Cricetulus griseus: one gene and its partner. The protein of the gene in region 1 interacts with the protein of each later gene in a biochemical or structural test. Links are inferred from orthologs where the notes say so. Each region holds a gene or a part of one and is shown on either strand. Other genes may lie near its edges. The genes, in order: Ipo13 and Magoh.

Evidence for each region.
Region 2: the proteins of Ipo13 (region 1) and Magoh form a complex in vitro, tested with the Homo sapiens proteins (2 studies listed by BioGRID and IntAct). The link is inferred for Cricetulus griseus from reciprocal best matches to the Homo sapiens genes IPO13 and MAGOH.

Annotation. Positions count from the first base shown.
Region 1 is NC_048595.1:34,412,183-34,415,993, reverse strand, and holds part of Ipo13 (importin-13), read right to left. Parts: coding exon 3,348-3,811; intron 1-3,347. UniProt on the Homo sapiens protein: Functions in nuclear protein import as nuclear transport receptor. Serves as receptor for nuclear localization signals (NLS) in cargo substrates.
Region 2 is NC_048595.1:41,959,238-41,963,810, forward strand, and holds the start of Magoh (protein mago nashi homolog), read right to left. Parts: upstream 3,026-4,573; 5' UTR 2,931-3,025; coding exon 2,843-2,930; intron 753-2,842; coding exon 694-752; intron 1-693. UniProt on the Homo sapiens protein: Required for pre-mRNA splicing as component of the spliceosome. Plays a redundant role with MAGOHB as core component of the exon junction complex (EJC) and in the nonsense-mediated decay (NMD) pathway.

The DNA of each region.
Region 1 (3,811 bases):
ACTCAGGAGGCAGAGGCAGGTGGATCTCTGAGTTCAAGGCCAATCTGATCCATAGAGTGAGTTCCAGGACAGTGAGGGTTACACAGAGAAAGCCTGTCTTGAAAAACACACAAAAAATGTATTTCAGGGGAAAAATTCAAAGGAGAGAGCTTGGAAGCAGGAACAAGCTGAGCTGGAGGGAAGACTGCTACTATCAGGACACCTGGGGAAGGCAGAGTCTGGATTACCCAGGAATCAGTCACTGAAGGTGACTTTCTTAACCTAAATATAGCAAATTAGCCTGGACAGAGCAGATCCCCAGTGCCAACTCCTGGCTTGTTGTAGCCCACCCATAGGGAAATCGCCTGTGTAGATTTCCTACCACACATGCTAGAAGCTTCTGAGCAAACAGAACAAGCCTGAGGCCTCAGAGGTCTCTAGACTTGCTAAAGGAAGCCTGAGAGATTGTCTTTAGGACCATGGTTAAGGCTGCTTTCAAGAGGCCTGGCTCTAGGTGGTCAGCCCCTGCAGCTGGAGCAGAGTTGTTGGGGATGTCTTGGCTGCCGCTCACACTGAGCTCAGCCCAGACCTACAATTAGAGCTCTGGGAGCAGAGCTGAGAAAATGGGAAGAGTTGCTAAGCAACTAAGGGGCTGCAACCAATGGGCGCCCAGGAGGCTATGGGTTCCCTCACTGGCCTCTTGCTTGCTCATTCGTTCAGAAGAGAAGGGGCATCAATTACTTGTTAAAGCCCTTGAGACAGGCTGGGTGGGTAAACTTGGCTATATCCAAGGATACCCCGAGTCACCCTGGTAATTGCCCTGATAATTGTCTTTAGCTGATACCTAAGCCCATCCAGCACTTGAGTCTCATGCTGCCACAAGAGCTCTGACTTGAGACTTGGTATCCACCTTATGCTAGGGATCCAGGGGTATCTTACTAACTGCTCCTGCAAAGATAACAGCAAATATTAGCAAATACACAGGATGATATGGGGTACATGGGAACCACATTAAACATCTCATGTTCTTTTATTTAACCTTCAAACCAAAAAATGTTTTCAACCAATACTTTTTGGTTTTAGTCTTTAGTAGTGCGATTGAACCTAGGGGCTTATGCATGTTCGGCAAGCACTGTACTGCTGAGCCTTGCTATATCCACAGCCTTTAGAGTTTTAAAGAACAGTGATTAAACACACTACCTCTGTGTGTGCATGTGTGCTTGTGTGAGAGCTCTACTCTAGTCCACCGTTTGTAACAGTTTCTACTTCTTACCACCAATTCTAAAAGCAACAGGCTTTAATCAGTTTAACAGTAGCTCTCTGTTTCTCTCTTTTAAAAAAAAAATGTTACCATTAAACTTGATCACCAATGGTAGAAGGACAAAAATATTATACATACAGTCCCCAATTTAAACCACATGGCAAATGCATAGCATATATGTACTCATATGTGATGCTGATCTCCCACCCTGAGTAAAGGCCACAAAAGAGCTGCCATCATTCAAGGAATTGAAATACTCTTACCCAATACCAAGGGCTGGCCCTGTATACATCATACTGTTCTAGCATTACAATTACTCCTTATGTTTTGTATGATTGCCTCCATTCTTGCTTAGAAGTGGTTTACCCAAGGTTCTCACATTTAGTAAACAAACTCTGGAATTCAAACTCAGACACAACTATTGCCAAAGCTAGAGCTGTTAGCCACTCCTCCACACAGCTTTCAGTGGTGTTCCCCTCCATGTCTACCCAAGATTCCCAGAACCCTATCTCTGAAGTGCCAGAGTCAGGTTTTCAGTCTTGTTTTTTCCAGTCCAACTTACTTACACCCAAAAGAATCTCAATAGACCATTTTCTCTGCATAAAATCCTTTAGTAGCTTTATACCAGCCCCAGGATGAAAAAAAAAATCTAAGACTAGTTAACAGGTCCCACATGATTTGAACCTGGTCCTCCTCCTACTAGTCTGACCTTTAAATCCTGCTATCTAATCATACCTAAAGGTTTACAAGTCACCACTAATTCCTTCACATCTTTCACCGTGCCTGGGTACTTTCCATCTGTCTGGAATGTTCTCTCCAAATCCATCAGCAGCATCTGACTAACTTTCCAAGTACAGTTTGGCTATCACTTCCTTTAGGCAGGCTTTCACACACCTCAGACGGGGTTAGGAGCCTCCACTGGGTTCCTAGAGCTTCTGCCCTCTCCATCAGCATTGCATGGTAGCTGACGGTAGATGCCTACTTATGTGCTCATCCCTCTGTGAGTAGCTGACATGAGCTAAAGCCTTCACCTATGTGCTCCAAGTGCTCATCACCTGGCCCAATACAGCATGTCCCTGATGGATGTTTGACAAATGCACAACTCCCTGCCTTCACCTTCTCTCTGGCCTTTGAAATGTGCTGTGGCATTGGCCACTCCGGGGCTTTGTACCTGTTGTGGTTCCTGAAGCTAGAAGCACCTCTCCTCACCCAATCTCCTCTACCTCCAACCCTCCCATTTTTTTTATCCATTCAGAAATTGGTGGATACTCCATTTCCCAGGCACAATGAGATAGAGTAAAACGACAGATGAGGGGCTCATGGGGAGATGCACATTGATTCATATAGGAATCACATTACAGGCTAAGAAGGAAAACCAGGAATATTACTAAGAGTGCTGAAAGAATACAGTAGAGAAGACAAAGGTTGGTCTGAAGAACCCTTGGGAACTTCTCTATGGAAGTGAGATGAAATTTAAGGTGAAGGGGAGGTGATGTGCCGGGCACTTGTTCAGGGGTTGGAGGGAGCAGAAAAGAACAGTCTAGAAACATAGGAAGGTAGGAAGTCAAGAGAGTGACATGAAATGAAGTTGGTGTGTGCCTCTTTGGGCAGGCACCTTTAAGAGTTAGATTCATGACTCTGAACTTTAAATACAGAGGAAAGCTGTTGGTCAGAAGGGAAAGATTAGACCCTCATTTTCAGAGGTCACTCTAACTGTTGGGATGACGAAGGGTACAAGAGACAAAAAGCAGGAGACTGATGAAAAAGCTCTGCTAAAATCTGGGAATGATGACAGCTGGGACTAGGGTGGCAGCAAAAACTGAAAATAATCGATCTGCAATATGGTCAGGAGCAGAACAGCCAGGACTTAGCGAATGGCTGAGGGAAAGAGAGGAGGCAAATATTTTAACAGTCTACCAGATAATTAATTGTTTGATGTCTGCCCCGCTTTCTCAACCATGAGGACAGGGACCATGTCTCATTTGTATCCTTGTTTCTGTCTCCAGCATAGAATAAAGCACTGTATCCAGTATAGGATACAGACACTGCAGTAATGTTCAGTGGATGGGTGGGGTGTCACTCTGTGGGAAGCTGGAGACAAACTCACCTTTGGGCATCAGGCTGGGAGATGGCATTGACAATGGCCTCCACACTGCTGTCAAAGAGCTCTGAGTCCTGCAGTGCAGTGAAGGCAGCCTGAATGAGCGCCTCACAGTCTTGCAGAGGTACTTCCAGCTGCACCCAGCTGGAGAAGCACTTGAGCACCTTCTGACGCACACAGCTGGGCGAGCTGGGCTGTTGTAGCAGTTGCTCCAGGAGTGGAAAGACAGCCCCACACTCCACAGCCAGGCTGGCCCGCACCAGACCTTTGCGGTACTGGGGCAAGCGGCTAGTCTGGAACTCCTCGGGCAGTACTGTCAGCAACTCTAGCAGGGCCAGACAACGGCCCTGGCCATCCACCGGAGAGTCCTCAGCCTGGAAGAGCCGAACCATATCTGCCACCACACATGGCCAAGCGTCAGGCATCATGCTGAGAGCCAGTGAGGCCAGTGCCACACATAGCCGAGTCAG
Region 2 (4,573 bases), about 7.5 Mb from region 1:
TTTAAAATCAGGGTTAAAGAACATACATATATGCCAGGTGTATGCCTTATTTCCAGGGAGGCTGAGGCAGGTAAATATCTGAGTTCCAGGTCAGCTTGGTCTATACAGGGAGTTCCACAACAGCCAGACTAACCCCTGTTCCCTTTCAGAAGCAAACCCAATGCTAGGAACTATATCAAACACTGTAAATATATTTAATTCTGTGATAGTACTTAGGAGTAAAAGGTAGGTTTTATTATCCCTCATTTTGCAGATGGAAGTATAGTGACCAAGTTTAGCCAGGGAACTTATCTGAGGTCACATGGTCAGTATGGAGCATATTGAGGGTTCAAACCAACACAGAGATTTCAAAAAGTTGCTAGTTATTAATTCAGCAATCCAAATAAATAAATAAATAAATAAATAAATAAATAAATAAAAAACATGCAAACCAAAGATGTGAGAAATAATCTAGCCGTGTAGAAATAGTGCTTAGCTGGGTGTGATGGAGCACACCTTCAAACCCAGCTTGGGAGTTTCAGGATGGCCAAGGCTATACAGAGAAACCCTGTTTTGAGAAACAAAAACAAAAAACCAAATAGAAAACAAAGAAAAAGAAGTATTTGTTTCTCCACTCTTTACTTTTCATTACTATTACCAGAGAGCGCAGAAACAATGTAAAGGGCTCACTGGTAGTGAAGGACAGGGTCCTACCTCTTTTCTGATCATGACATCATTTTTGTAATTGCTGTTGTTGGCATATCGAAGTTTTCCTGTGGGGCAAATAAATAAATAAATAAATAAATAAATAAATAAATAAATGCAATTTACAACAAAACATCAACTCAGTAGCCTACTAACAATACCAACTTTGCCTAAATTATATCCAATTCTCTCTCTTGGCTGTCCTGGAACTCGATCTGTAGACCAGAATGGTCTCAAACTTACAGAGATCCACCTGCCTCTGCCTCCTGAGTATTGGGACTAAAAGTGTGGGCAACCACCGCTGTAGCCGGCATTATATTCAATGTTCAACCCAATTCACAGCTATTATATTAGTCTTTACAGTGCTCCACTTTAAATTATGAAACAGCTGAAGACTAACCTGACACTGAAATAGAGTTCAGGCAAAAGTTACTTTGATTTGGCAAAAGAACACAGGCAGGCTCTTTTACGACTCTGGCAAATAGCTTTTCAGCAGGTCAATGATCTCAGCTGTAAACAGAAATGATAATTGCTAAGTTCCCTGCACAGAGAACATGCTGAAAGTATTTTGAAAACGGTAGGAAGCGACATACACATGCCCATGTGGTCTTGTGGTATGATCTATTTCTGCATACTTTTAAATTGAGCACATTTGGTTCATAAGTCCTTCTGTGCATGAGTACAACCACCAGGCTAGTTTGGGTATATAGTGTCATGTGGCAGAAAAAAACAGGGAACTTTGGGGAGAAGCATCTAATTTAGTCTGACTGTCTGAGCAGGTTTCATGCATAAAGTGACTTAGGTGGGTGGAATATAGGAAGAATGTGAAGTGTAGGTGTGGGCTAAGGGACCAAGAATAGAGAAGATGGTGTTTTGGACCAAATTCACATCAAAGACACTGGAAACTAAAAAGTGCTTGGGATGTTGCAGGCAGAAACAAAGTAGTGTGGGCAGAGTATTGTAGGGTTGAAAAGGCAGACAGGAACTCAGCTTGGCTGTATGCCATGGTAAGGGGTTTGAATTTTGTCAGGAAGGCAGAGGGAAGTTATTGACAGTATCAGAGAACTACAGTCATCTAATTACACAGGCCTCTTGCTACATGTTCTTGTCCATCTTATAGAGAACTAACTGAAAAAGGGAAAGATTTGAGTAGAATTGTCCTTGCCTCCTCACCACACCACAACCGTCCCAAAATATTATCAATCAGATACATTCAGATCGTCTCCAACAGTATCCTAAGTCTTCTCCACGTCTATAGTCCTAGCTGTCCTAGTCCCGACCGCCATCTCATGTCTATTCTGTGTCCAAGCGCTAGGATGCTTTCTGAAGATCATCACACCTTTTCTCTTATAAGCTTCAAGCTGTTTCCTGCTGCTCCTATTTATGGTCTACAAACACCTAACATCATCTCCTACTGGTTTCCCTAGAATTCTGTCCTTCAGTCACCTCAACGGCCATCTGAAACATGCCTGGTTCTTTGCTGTCCTATGACCTCTACATTTGCCACTCCGATAGAAGACTTTTCTTCCTGAGCTTCACAAACTGACTGGTCCCTTCTCGATTCCGGCTCAATTCAAATACCCACTGTTCAGAGTGCTCTCGAAAAAGAGACCCTATTTTCGGATCACTCCTCACTACAGGAGATCACTGTTTATGGTTTCTCCCAGTACCTAAACACATGTTCCACGAGAGGGGAAATTTATCTTCGTGGCTCTGTCCCCAGAGTGGAACACGGCCCGGTGTAAGATGGACATTCAATCAATCTTTGTTGAAACGTTAACAACCTGGCTTTTTAAAGCCACTAAGAAGCCGGGCGTTGGTGGTGCATGCCTTTAATCCCAGCACTCGGGAGGCAGAGGCAGGCGGATCTCTGTGAGTTCGAGGCCAGCCTGGTCTCCAGAGCGAGTAGGCTGCCAGGACAGGCTCCAAAGCTACACAGAGAAACCCTGTCTCGAAAAACCAAAAGAACCCAAAAGTTACTAAGGAGAAGCTCCAGCGTATGGACAGAAAGGACCAGTGAGGCCGAAAGAAAAGACTACGCCTTTCACAACCCAAGAGCTCCGGTCTCAGTCCCTTCCTTCACAAAAGCCGCGGCCCGGCCTCTCCGCCCTCCCCCAGGTCCCGTTTCCCTTCCTTGTAGGCGGGAGGCCGCTCTTACCGTCAGGTCGGAATTCAAACTCCAGGAACTCATGACCGAACTTGCCTTTGTGACCCACGTAGTAACGTAGGTAAAAGTCACTCTCCATGGCTCACACGGGACAATCAAGACCGAACTTTACGAACAGATCACACTACCACGATCTGCGCCCTCTACTGACGTAACGGCGGCGCGCGGAAGTGACGCCACAACCGCGCCGTTAATAACAGTTTTTTCACCCTTGGGAGGCGGGAACGAGACTACCCCGCCCCCGCGTCCTGCGGCGAGATCCGGATCACCGCTCCTCCTTTCCGGAAATCGAGTGCTTTGCGAGGTCCTGCGCTTCCGTTACGTCCTGGGCTTCCACGGGGCAGCTTTACCTATAGGCTTAGGGCCAACCCTGCGATCTGTAGTCCAGTCAGGCTCAACCGCAATGTAAAGACACACGAAAGAGGCCATTCACACTCTGAACCCAGGTGGTCTCCACAGTAAAATGGGCAAAAAATGGCTCCCCCATCTTTGAGCACGCTGCCCCCTTCCCCACCCCCAGGGTCTGAATCAGGAGTTGCGTTTGAGGGGCAGTGTAGTAGCGAATAGCTGTGGCCTAGCACTCAAAAGCTTAACGCCGCCCAGGAGTCACGAGTTGAGGCTAGAGGCTGCATACTGTAAGACCCTGTCTCGAAAAAGTTCGCTTTACTTTTTTTTTTTTTTTTTTTTGAGACAGGGTTTCTCTGTGGCTTTGGAGGCTGTCCTGGAACTAGCTCTTGTAGACCAGGCTGGTCTCGAACTCACAGAGATCCGCCTGCCTCTGCCTCCTGAGTGCTGGGATTAAAGGCGTGCGCCACCACCAACGCCCGGCTCGCTTTACTTTTGTGTGTTTGTTTTGGGTTTTCCAGACAGAGTTACTCTGTTTAACAGCTCTGGCTGTCTCTTTTAAGAAAACTTTTCCCCGAGCAGTGTTAGTGCACACCTTTAATCCTTAAGGCAGGTGGATGTCTGTGAGTTAGAAGCCAGCATGGTCTACAGAGCGAGTTCCAGGACAGACCCCAAAGCTACAGAGAAGCCTTGTCTCGAAAAACAAACAACACCCCCCGCCCCCCCCCCCCGTTTTCAATGACTCCTTCCCCAATCCACAACGTTGCCTGGAACTTGTCTGCACTGCCAACATCCCCTTCTGCCGTTTGCTTATTTTACAATTTATAGGCAAGGTGCAGACTGACGGGGCACTTGTGACCCTCCTACCTCAACTTCCAAGAGTGTCACCTCTTAGGCACAAGTTGCCTCTCATCTCTCCTGTCTCCCAGGCTCACTGCTGTCTAGGATAGGTGCTGTGGGAGGATGTTAAAGTGGACATTGGATTCCCACTCCCAGATACCTTACCCACAGTGATTCTAAGCCACACACACACACACACACACACACACACACACACACACACACACTGTGGGAGGATGTTAAAGTGGACATTGGATTCCCACTCCCAGACACCTTACCCACAGTGATTCTAAGACACACACACACACACACACACACACACACACACACACACACACACTGTGGGAGGATGTTAAAGTGGACATTGGATTCCCACTCCCAGACACCTTACCCACAGTGATTCTAAGACACACACACACACACACACACACACACACACACACACACACTGTGGGAGGATGTTAAAGTGGACATTGGATTCCCACTCCCAGACACCTTACCCACAGTGATTCTAAGACACACACACACACACACACA